Linked DNA regions of Callithrix jacchus. The protein of the gene in region 3 purifies or fractionates together with the protein of the main gene of each other region. This does not show direct contact. Links are inferred from orthologs where the notes say so. Each region holds a gene or a part of one and is shown on either strand. Other genes may lie near its edges.

The links. Proteins that work in one complex are often made in the same cells at the same time.
Region 1: the proteins of EFTUD2 (region 3) and PRPF31 purify together in Homo sapiens (affinity purification with mass spectrometry; 4 studies listed by BioGRID and IntAct, with this or other methods). This does not show direct contact. The link is inferred for Callithrix jacchus from reciprocal best matches to the Homo sapiens genes EFTUD2 and PRPF31.
Region 2: the proteins of EFTUD2 (region 3) and TSSC4 purify together in Homo sapiens (affinity purification with mass spectrometry; 4 studies listed by BioGRID and IntAct, counting the BioPlex papers as one, with this or other methods). This does not show direct contact. The link is inferred for Callithrix jacchus from reciprocal best matches to the Homo sapiens genes EFTUD2 and TSSC4.

Annotation. Positions count from the first base shown.
Region 1 is NC_133523.1:47,301,134-47,304,780, reverse strand, and holds part of PRPF31 (U4/U6 small nuclear ribonucleoprotein Prp31), read right to left. Parts: intron 3,300-3,647; coding exon 3,202-3,299; intron 1,137-3,201; coding exon 1,030-1,136; intron 1-1,029. UniProt on the Homo sapiens protein: Involved in pre-mRNA splicing as component of the spliceosome. Required for the assembly of the U4/U5/U6 tri-snRNP complex, one of the building blocks of the spliceosome.
Region 2 is NC_133511.1:129,467,911-129,472,357, forward strand, and holds TSSC4 (U5 small nuclear ribonucleoprotein TSSC4), read right to left. Parts: upstream 2,846-4,447; 5' UTR 2,661-2,845; exon of another isoform or gene 1,655-2,660; 5' UTR 1,521-1,654; exon of another isoform or gene 1,370-1,520; 5' UTR 1,347-1,369; coding exon 333-1,346; 3' UTR 134-332; downstream 1-133. UniProt on the Homo sapiens protein: Protein associated with the U5 snRNP, during its maturation and its post-splicing recycling and which is required for spliceosomal tri-snRNP complex assembly in the nucleus.
Region 3 is NC_133506.1:85,259,501-85,262,215, forward strand, and holds the end of EFTUD2 (116 kDa U5 small nuclear ribonucleoprotein component), read right to left. Parts: intron 2,490-2,715; coding exon 2,336-2,489; intron 1,523-2,335; coding exon 1,415-1,522; intron 1,075-1,414; coding exon 979-1,074; 3' UTR 620-978; downstream 1-619. Other genes in the region: HIGD1B (HIG1 domain family member 1B), read left to right, coding at 39-103. UniProt on the Homo sapiens protein: Required for pre-mRNA splicing as component of the spliceosome, including pre-catalytic, catalytic and post-catalytic spliceosomal complexes. Component of the U5 snRNP and the U4/U6-U5 tri-snRNP complex, a building block of the spliceosome.

The sequences.
Region 1 (3,647 bases), on a different chromosome or scaffold from region 3:
TGCACATCTGTGTGTGTAGCTTCAGCCTAATCCCCAGTCCCGCCCTCTCAGTTGTGTGTGTGTGCGTGCACATCTGTGTGTGTAGCTTCAGCCTAATCCCCAGTCCCACCCTCTCAGTTGTGTGTGTGTGTGCGTGCACATCTGTGTGTGTAGCTTCAGCCTAATCCCCAGTCCCGCCCTCTCAGTTATGTGTGTGTGTGTGTGCACATCTGTGTGTGTAGCTTCAGCCTAATCCCCAGTCCCACCCTCTCAGTTGTGTGTGTGTGTGTGTGCACATCTGCATGTGTAGCTTCAGCCTAATCCCCAGTCCCACCCTCTCAGTTGTGTGTGTGTGTGTACACATCTGCATGTGTAGCTTCAGCCTAATCCCCAGTCCCGCCCTCTCAGTTGTGTGTGTGTGTGTACACATCTGCGTGTGTAGCTTCAGCCTAATCCCCAGTCCCGCCCTCTCAGTTCTGTGTGTGTGTGTGTGTGCACATCTGCGTGTGTAGCTTCAGCCTAATCCCCAGTCCCGCCCTCTCAGTTATGTGTGTGTGTGTGTGCACATCTGCATGTGTAGCTTCAGCCTAATCCCCAGTCCCGCCCTCAGTTGTGTGTGTGTGTGTGTGCACATCTGCATGTGTAGCTTCAGCCTAATCCCCAGTCCCGCCCTCTCAGTTGTGTGTGTGTGTGCGTGCACATCTGTGTGTGTAGCTTCAGCCTAATCCCCAGTCCCGCCCTCTCAGTTATGTGTGTGTGTGTGTGCACATCTGCATGTGTAGCTTCAGCCTAATCCCCAGTCCCGCCCTCAGTTGTGTGTGTGTGTGTGTGCACATCTGCATGTGTAGCTTCAGCCTAATCCCCAGTCCCGCCCTCTCAGTTGTGTGTGTGTGTGCGTGCACATCTGCATGTGTAGCTTCAGCCTAATCCCCAGTCCCGCCCTCTCAGTTCTGTGTGTGTTTGTGCCTGTATGCACATCTGCGTGTGTAGCTTCGGCCTAATCCGCAGTCCCCCTAGCCCGGGCCCAGTCCTCCCTCGCAGCGGACATACCCCTGAGTGGTGGAGGCAGTGACACTGACGACCATGATGGTGGCATTGGTGAGGATCTGCTGCAGGTTCTCATTGTTCTTGCACTTGTCCAGGCTGTTGCCCAGCTCCTGGGGGCGAGCAGAGAGACAGGGAGGCTTGGGCTCAGGAGGGCTGGAGAACCTCTTGCTCAGCACCTATTCAGGTCTTGTCTTGGGGACACTGGGAAAGTCAGGGTGTCTACACTGAGGGTCACTGCACTGGGGGCCTCTCCTGCCTCTGCCACCCGAAGCATCCACACTCTCTGCTCTGCTTTGGCTGACCTGGAAATGGAGCCTGGGCACAGTGGCGTCTGGGAGACCGAGGCCTCACAAGCCTCTGGCCCATGACAAGTGGGAGCACTGATCCGGTGGCCTCACTTCCCTGCAGGGGCTTTCCCCACCACTGTCCAGTGGGTAACCCCCAACATGGGTACCAAGGAAGGAGAGCTGTGCAAACCCCAGGCACAATTAGTGCCTGAACAATGTCTTAGTTTATAGTGTTATTATTCAGCTATTTCCTTTATATAATCCTTTATACGTAATCGTGTATGAGTTTACAGTCAGAACAATTAGTGCCTGAAGTATAACTTACTGCTTACCTATATCTAGCATATAAAATCATACTTACTACTTATGTCTAGCATACTTAGTTCCTTATGATCTTTTTATGTAGTCATGTAAATATTATAGTCTATATAGCCATATATATATATATATTCTCTATAATCACGTAGATATTGTAGTCGGAGCTGTACCAACACATTTAGTGATGGTTTATATAATATTTCTATATAACCATATAGTAGTTTGTAGTAGGAGGAATGCCTAGAGCAGTCACAGAACAGAAGCAGTACATGGGAAAACAGCCAGACGAGGACACGAACCAAAGACCCAGTGGTGGCGTCCCTGCCTGAAAGGGCGTATGCTGTGTGGCAGGCTTGGAGCAAGAGCCTCTCCTCCTGAAAAAGGAGTGGTAGTACCTTGCATCCAGTTCCTGTGGAAAGTAGGCCTCAGGCCTGAGATCCCACAAATAACCGAGGGAGAAGAACCCCTCGGGTGTGACTGGGTCACGGCAGCTGTACACCCTGTCAGCCTGTCAGCTCAAATCATCCTCCCACAAAATATCTTCAAGAAGAGCAGAAGTCTGTCAGCTCCCACTGCATTGGCTTACAGTATCCTTCTATTAGAAATCCTCTGAAGTCTCCAGCCCCCAGATAAGAAGTGTTGCATCTGACACCTGTTGCACACAGTCCACCTCCTTGCCTCGGTGACCTAATGGGAGTGGACCCCTTTTCTGTACATGACCCTCTACTACTGCGCGCGGCCCACCTCTCTGACTAGGTGGCCTTATGGGGTGGCCCCCTCGCTTGATTATGTATGCCTTATCATTAAACCTATAGTGACCTCACTCACGACCCTTCTCCCTGCCCTGTACCTAATACAGACGCTTCTGGGCGTTCGGGGCCTCACCTGTCTCCGCTCATAAGTGGCGTGGCCCCTGAGCCCAGCTGTCTTTTCCAGTCTTTCTGTGTCCTGTCTCTACTTCTCGGATCCTCCACACAGCTGTAGGGGACGCCCCACGACTCCTTAGGGCTGTGGCTTTACACCATCCTAATCTTTCCCTGGACATGTGTGGGGACCTCCTCCTCTCCCTGCCTCACGTGCACCTGCCCCTCTTTCCCTAAACCCTTCCTTGGATCTCTCCTAAGACCCAGAGGCCCAACGCGATCCGACCTCTTCCACTTCCCTCCTTCCCCACCTCACTCCCTCCCAGCTTGTTCCCTCTCAGGCTCTCTGCACTTAAACGTCTCTCTCCCCCAAATCTCCGCGTGCCTGTCCCATGTCAACCTTCGGATCTCAACTCCAATGCTGCCGGCTCTAACCACAGTGGGAGCAGCACGGGTCAGGCCAGAGGGGAAGCCCTCTTGGGAGACCGGGGCAGGAGGGGAGCCCTGAGGAAGTCCCGTCCAGCTTCTGTCCCTCCCACGCTGGGCAGAGCAGGCCGCTGAGCCACCGTCCACTCCTTCCATGATCTCCAGACCCCGAGGCCTCTGGGAGCAGGTTCAAGAGTGAGCCCCACCTGCCCCTTCACACCGGCAGAAGTCGGGCAAGAAGCCACAGTTCTTCCCAAGCACCCCGCCTTCTTGGTGCTCACCTTGACCGTGCGGATGTAATCCAGTGCATTGGGGACCAAGGACTCCAGTTCAGGGAATCTCTTCGAGTACTTATCCCGGATGAACTTATGGATGATGTCTAGGGTGGACAGGACAGGCGGTCTTGGGTAAGACAGGAGGTAGAGTCTGCTGGTTGCCCTAACACCCATTTCCCCTTCTTCCTTTACGTATGACCACGGGAATTTGTTCTGCTCTGTAAGATGTGAGCTGAGCTGTGGTGACACGTTCTTAAGAATAAGAAGCGCCTTGCTGGTGGAAATGCAGAGGTGATGGCTGGAGGTGGGACAGCCACCTTGCACCGTGAACCAGTGGCTGAACAACAAGATGGAAAGAGCTGGGGCCACACCACCCCCAAGTGCTCGCTCAGACTCACACATAAGAGGAGAACAAACTTCCTTCTTCTTCAAACCACTGTTACAGCAGGTGG
Region 2 (4,447 bases), on a different chromosome or scaffold from region 3:
TGGGTGATCTGCTGGTGAGGGATGCAGGTGCCAGCCACCCTCGAGTGGCCTGGCGGTGAGGCTGGAAGCAGCCAAGCGGGACCCCTCGTAGCCGACAGGGGTGAGCAGGGCCCAGATATACACGAAGCCTGAGGAAGTCCCAAAACCTTTATTGTCCCCACCAGGTAGCCAATGCTTCCAGCCCACCCCAGGAGCCTCAGCCAGGTCTGTTGGGAGGATGACACCCAGGGCCACCGGTGCCACCTACAGGCAGCATGCAGGCTCCCTCCCACTCTAGCTGCCCCTTGGCCAGACCTCCTGGGAAGGCAGCAGGACGGCAGTGGCCAGTGTGGTCAGGCGGCCCCGTCTCCCTCTGAGACCTCAGCGCCTGGGCCCTTGGAGCTGCTGCCCTTGTTCCGGAAGTGGTCTCGACTCCGCTTCCTGCTACTGTGGAAGCCAACCGTCTCCACCAGTGGGAGGCCTGGCATAGGCCCACCGTGGACAGGCCCTGTCGGTGCCTCCACCTCCTGCAGGCCCCCGTGGGGGCTGCCCCACTCCTCAGCCTCTGGGCTACCGGGCCTGGCCAGATGGGCCAGCTCCACTGGGCCCTCGCCCCTATCTGGGGCACGGATCCCAAGGCTGCCCCTGCCTGGCTCTCCCACTTTACCCAGAACCCTCTTCCTCTCGTGTCTGGCCTCAACCCCTCGGGCTGGTTTGGTGAAGACGACCCTCCCTTCCCCACAGCTGGAGGGGTCCTGGTTGAAGGAGGGCACGCAGTCAGTAGGGGCAGCCACGCTCTGGGAGCCCAGGAAGGCCAGGGCGGTGGCCTGATTGCTCTGCTCGCTGACCTCGGTCACATCTTCCAGGCTGTACTTGGTCCAGCGCTCGGGGTGTGCCACGTAGTCGGGGACTGGAGGCGCCTTGGGGGAGGCTGGGCTCCAATGGGCCCTGCCCAGCCCTTCCACTGGAGGCTGGCCTGAGGGTGCCAGGGGCCGCTTGAAGCCTCCATTGTCACTTCTGCTGCTGTGGGCCACAGGGGGTGGGGCCCGCCTGGCTGCCCCCTCCAGGAAGTCAAAGATGTCACGGCTGCGCTGGGAGAAGGTGGAGCTCATGCCTCTCAAATGGAACGGCTGCACCGCAGATGGGAGGAGGAGGCCTGAGGGGGGTGAGGGCGGCTCATCGGGGCCTGAATCCTCCTCCCCAGGCAGCCCCCCTGGGGACAGCGCTTCTACTTCAGCATCGCCAGGCAAGCTGAGGTCAGAGTCCGAGTCACTGAGGGAGACCGTGTCGGAAGGCAGCGTGTCATACTCCGTCTCATGCTCCCCCTCCACGCTGGGGGACGGCTCCTCTGTCCCTGCCTCAGCCATGCGTTCCCAGGACCACGTCACACCTAGACCAAAACAGCCCAGGAGATTCGTTTCAGGAACAGTGTTAAGAATGAGTCTCCTGCAGATCAACCGCCCCTGGACAAGGAGGGTCAGCCGGCAGACCTGTCCCACACAGGGTGGAGGCCCCTCTCCCCCTCCCAGCCCTCCTCTCACCTCCCTTGGCTGCTGACACTGGAGTGTGGCTGCACAGCCAGGTGGGCGGAACCTTGATGAAGGTCCTCAGTGGCACAGGTATGGTTGTCTCAGGCCTCGGAGTGCCCCTGGCATGCGTCTGTTCAGCTGCTCGACTGCAGGTGGGAGGGGTGGGGGAGAGGACCATCCTCAGACCGGAGCGCAAATGTGTGAAAGAGGTGGGAGGCAGGACCGACCTGAGCCCGGGTTTTGGAGTCCCTGACAGGCCAGAACCCAGGGTAGGGACTTCTGAGTCGTGACTTAATTTAATCGCGTCAACCCTCTGCAGGCAGGCTTGGAACTACGAAGCGATTCTGGTAGTAAGCAGCCGCCCAGGGCTGGAACCCAGGGCCGAGATCAGGCAGGAGAGCTACTTATAAGCTGCTTGCTGTTGGGGGGTGAGCAAGAGCAGGCACCTTCCTGGTCATCGGGGAAAAGGTTTGCTCCTATCTGCTGGGAGAGCCCCGGGAGCTCCCAAGACATCTGCAGCCAAGGCCCTGGCATCGCACAAAGTGGGGTGTCAGCCCATCAATCACCTCGAGCAGCCCTCACAGGCAGAGGCAAAGCCGCGTAGCTCCTGGAGCGACCTCTAGTGGCCTTCCCCGTGTAACACTCAACACACACACCGCCTTTCCAGCGGGGCAGCCAAGCGGCCTCCCGCACCCATTTAGTGGTGGAGTGACTGGGTGCCTCGGAGCTGGCATTGCCAGTGGAGAGGACGGCCCGGCCTCACCCTTCTGCACTGCCCTCATCCATCCACTGACTCCTTGCCCGCCAGGGTGACATGTGTCCCGTGCTCCCAACAAGGATGGGGTCAGGGGTACCAGAAGGGGCTCCTAGTGCCCCCCACCAGGTCAAACAGAGGCAGCACTTCAATTCCTCTGCGGCGTGACTCTCCTCCGTGAAGAAGCCACCCCGTAAATGAAAGGGGCTACCCGGAACCCCCCACTGATGTCCGTTTTAGAGCCGGCAGGGACGGAGGCTGAAGGAAACCGTCCCTTTGCCCACATGAAGGCAGGGCCTGGCCTTTCTCCTCTCTATGCGCCAGCAAGACCTCCCCGCCAGGGAACAAACTCTCTGTGCCAAGTCGGCTCTCGGTGCGAAGTCGGGCTGGACACTCACGAGGATGCTGTGGGTCCCAAGGGCTCGGCCGCGGGGTACGGGGGTCGGTGAGCACAGCGGGGCTTCAGCTGCGCTCGGTGACCTCCCGGAGGCTCACCCGGCTCACGCGGCCCGTCGTTCCTCAACACAAACCTACCAGCTCAAGGCGGCACGGCCGTCTCCATCTTGGTCGGCTCCGCCCGCCCATGCAACGCGCTCAGCCCTCTGGGAAACCGAGTGTTCATCCGGCCGAGCGCCGCGGCTTCCACGCCCGCAAAACTACACCTCCCACAAGGCACTGGGCCGCCGCTCCCGACGCCTGTCGGGACGTGTAGTCTTGTGCGCATGCGTCCGCCTCTCTACTCCAGGACACCGCGGCCCTGGCGTCCGGCTCGGAAACAGCCCCGGAACCGCGGCATTTGTTGGCGAAACAAGACCGGAACTGACCAAGGAGAACAGGAAAAGGAGGGGCCACGCCTGCAATTCCCAGAATGCTCGAGGGCTAACCGACCGCCGCGCCGGCTTTCCGTGGTCCCAGCGCCACCTGCTGGAAACCGTGAGAACAGCGGCCGCCTCAGGCAGGAAGTGCGTCATTTCATAGGGAGGGCGAATGCCGTTCGGACACTTCCGGTCATGACCGGAAGCGGCAGCTGTAGCTCTTCCGGGGCTTCGGAGCACTGAGGCGGGGCTCCCCAGGATCCCACGGTCCCGCTCAGGGCGGACGCAAAGGCGGTCCCAGCCCGAGATGAGGACGCGGAGTCTTGACCTGTGGGCCACGGGTGAAGGGGGCGGCCCTGCTGGATCCTCTGGCTGGGCCGACGCTTTCCCACCCCTAGGGGTTGGCTGGGCCCTGGAGGCAAACTTGTGGGGCGTCGCCCTTGGGGACGCTGCCGGGCCGCCCGCGCAGCCCTGGGCCCTCAGCTCTGGCACATTGGTCCGGCCTCCGAGGGCGCTGCAGGGAAGCCAGGGCCAGGCCCTTCCAGGTCCCCGGTCCCCCGTCCTCCCGGGCGGGGTGGAGGCCGCTGAACGCTCCTCAAGCGTGGCTGGGTGGGCGGCAGCCGGAGCGGTGTGGCCTCCGCCATGCCTGGGAGCCGGCAGCCTGGCCTCGCCTGTCCACGGTGCCCGCCCTGAAAGGGAGAGCGAGGGCCCAGGTTCTCCCCCCGACAAGCCGCGTGTCCCTGGGCCACGGGCCCTGGTTGGTTGGCGCCCTGTGCCCCGCACACTGCGGGGAGCTGAGTTCCCCTCGGCGGCTACACCGCTGGGCCGTGTCAAGGCTGGAGACAACTCCCTTCCCAGGGCCTGCTGTCCTGGCATCCGCCGGGAAACAGGACTCAAGGACCTGCTGCGGCCTTTGGGATGTCATTCCCCGCCCACGGAGGACACAGCGGGAAGTGGAGAGGGGGCTCCTTGCACCGTCCTGTGCTCCCAAGCAGTGCAGCCTTGGAATTTGGGAGCAGCAGGAGAGGGCCTGCTGAGAGACTCCGTAACCCCCCAAAATGCAGGGCCGGGGGCAGTTTCCAAATTGGCTTGCAGAGAGGCTGCTGGGAGCCCTAGACATAAATTCCCAGTCACTCCTTTCCTCCAGGGGTCAATGTGCCAGCAGCTTCATCTCCCCAACTAGGGAAAAGCAGCCGGAGCGACAGCAAGCACCACCCCAGGGTCCACGGTGTGAGGGAAGATAGGAGAGCCTAGACCAAGCCCATTGGCTTGGAGGAGCTCGGACAGGGAAGGGGTGCGGGGCAGTGCAGGGGATGCTTGGCCCCAGAGCCTGTCCACCCACCCACTGCTCACTGGTGGGCTGGGTGGGC
Region 3 (2,715 bases):
TCAATGCCAAGGGGCATGACTTCTTTTCCCTCACACAGGGACTGTGTACACAATGTATAGCGATTATGTCAAAAGGATGGCACAGGACGTTGGAGAGAAGTAGGACTCCTATAGGAGCCAAGGCAGTCCGACTTCCCTAAATCAATCCCTGGTATGTTTCTAATAAAGCAGTTTTGAGGAAAATCAACAGACTCTTTTTCACTGGGGAGAACAGAGTAAGGGACTGGTGGTGGCTGGGGAGAGGACTTAGAGCAAATGGCTGGAAATCAGTGCTCTGGCCCCATACCCTAGGGCAAGGGAGATTCTTGGGGGGCGGGACAGCAATTTCCTGAGGTGCTGGGGTAGACCTCTGATCCCAGGAACCAACAACTCCCAAGCCATCTTAGGTCCCACCCTGAAGCAGCATGGAGTGGGAGCAAGGGGGCAAAAACAGGGCCTTGATACTCATGAGAACACTGAATTAAAAGGCAGGCTGCTTCCCTGGGGACTCAGGCAGGAAGGAGGCTGCAGCTGGAAGCAGAGGCAGTGAAGCCTCTTGGGAGATGACATATATTCAGAATGTAAGCACCAGGACCAGATGGGGCAGGGGAGACGGGGATGAAAGGAACAGAGCAAGACAGAGGTCAAAATGTTCTGTTCACTTGCAAACCATGGCGAAGGTCAAACTTGTAGAAAATAAAATTCCATGTAAATACCAAAGATGGGGGGGTTCCATCCCCGCTTCTCTTTCTGTGAGTCCAAGCAAACTCCTCTCTTTCCTTGGAAATGGAGCCTGGCAGAGGGCACAGAAGGAAGCAGGAGGCCAAATGCTCCTCTCTCACTGGCGCTCTGGGTTAGAGGTTGGTGAGTTGTTCAAGACACCAACAGCAGCTTCCAGACACTCTAACAACACGAAGGCCATGTCATACCAGGTCTCAGCTTCAAGTGCAGGAGTTGCAACTCACTGTAGGGAGCAGGAGCTGCCAGGAGTCCGTGCACTCACATGGGGTAATTGAGCACAACATCCTGTTTGGCGAGTTCCAGCAACATAGGATCATCGAAGAATTTGCTTATGCTCACATCTTCACTGAGGCCCTGCAGAAAAATACAAGAAAAATACAAGAAAGCCCGAGGTGGTGGCAGACTGAGTGGGGAGGCCACCCAAGACCTGCGCTCAGTGAGGCTAGTGGTAGCAGGAATGTAGGTGGTGTTGTTTCAGCAGCCCTGCTTTCAGGGTACTATCATATAGGAGGATAAAGCTCTCCTTCCACAGCAAGACTAGGGCCCAGGTCTAGTTGCCTCAAGAGTATACAGATCACATGTTTACATTGGAAAAGGGTCCTTTAGGAAAAGGGGCCAAAAGACAGACATAGAGATCCTACTTCTGAGAGTTCTGGGGGGTTGAGGGATGGTAACAGGCCCAAGGAAGACATACCTTCCTACGACGAGTTTTGATCATGAATTCCCGGGCCAGGTGAGGAGCCGGCTGTGGCTCCAAAGGGCGAATGACAATGCTCTTGTCCAGAGGATCACCAGGGACAATCTAAAAGACAAAGGAATTTCAGATGGCCCAGGCAGACTCCCCAGAAGATTTGGGCCCAGAAGCAGGATTCTTATTTATTTTACAGAAAAAAAAAAAATTTTTTTTGAGACTGAGTTTCGCTCTTGTTGCCCAGGCTGGAGTGCAATGGCATGATCTCGGCTCACTGCAACCTCTGCCTCCTGGGTTCAGGCAATTCTCCTGCCTCAGCCTCCTGAGTAGCTGGGATTACAGGCATGCACCACCATGCCCGGCTAATTTTGTATTTTTAGTAGAGACAGGGTTTCTCTGTGTTAGTCCCTATTTTATTTTTAAATTTATTATTATTATTATTTTTTGAGACGGACTCTTGCTCTGTCGCCCAGGCTAGAGTGCAGTGGTGCGATCTTGGCTCACTGCAACCTCTGCCTCCTGGGTTCAAGTGATTCTCCTGCCTCAGCCTCCTGAGTAGCTGGGATTACAGGTACCCACCACTGTGCCCAGCTAAATTTTTTTTGTATTTTTAGTAGAGACAGGGTTTTACCATGGTAGCCAGGCTAGTCTTGAACACCTGACCTCGTGATCTGCCCGCCTTGGCTTCCCAAAGTACTGGGATTACAGGTGTGAACCACTGTGCTGGTCCTCTATTTTTTTTTTTTTTTTTAAACTGAGAGACACAGATTCAAGTTGCCCTGAATATATGCTCCCCAGAAGAGGACTCTTCTCTAGGATGCTGTACATCTCACTTAGGGCTTGGAGGGGGATCAGGACAGAAGGGGATGAGGCTTGCAGAGGTGTGAGGCCAACGCAGCCAGCCAGCCTGCGATGTTTTCTCACCTGCCAATGGTGGAAGACAGACAGAGAAAAGGCTTGTCCCTGGGTGTGAGTCCGGAGATCAGTTTCAAAGCCAAAAGAGTCGATGGCTGGGATAAAGGCTTTGATGGTGTACAGAGGGGAGCCTGGAATGGGTGCATCCTGAGTCACGTGCCCCCTGCGACAAAAAAATAAAGGCCGAGTCTCTAGTTATACAAAGGCCAAAAGACAAGAAGCAATCTGCCATTGGCTGTTCCCAAATGCATCCCAGCCCAGAGTTACCATCAAAGAAAGAGTAACCAAGAATGTTATACAGAGCAGAAAAAGCTCGGGGCTCTCAGTGTAATTTCCTGTGGTCTTGAGTTGTTGTTTTTTTTTTTTATTTTTATTTTGGAGAAGCAGTT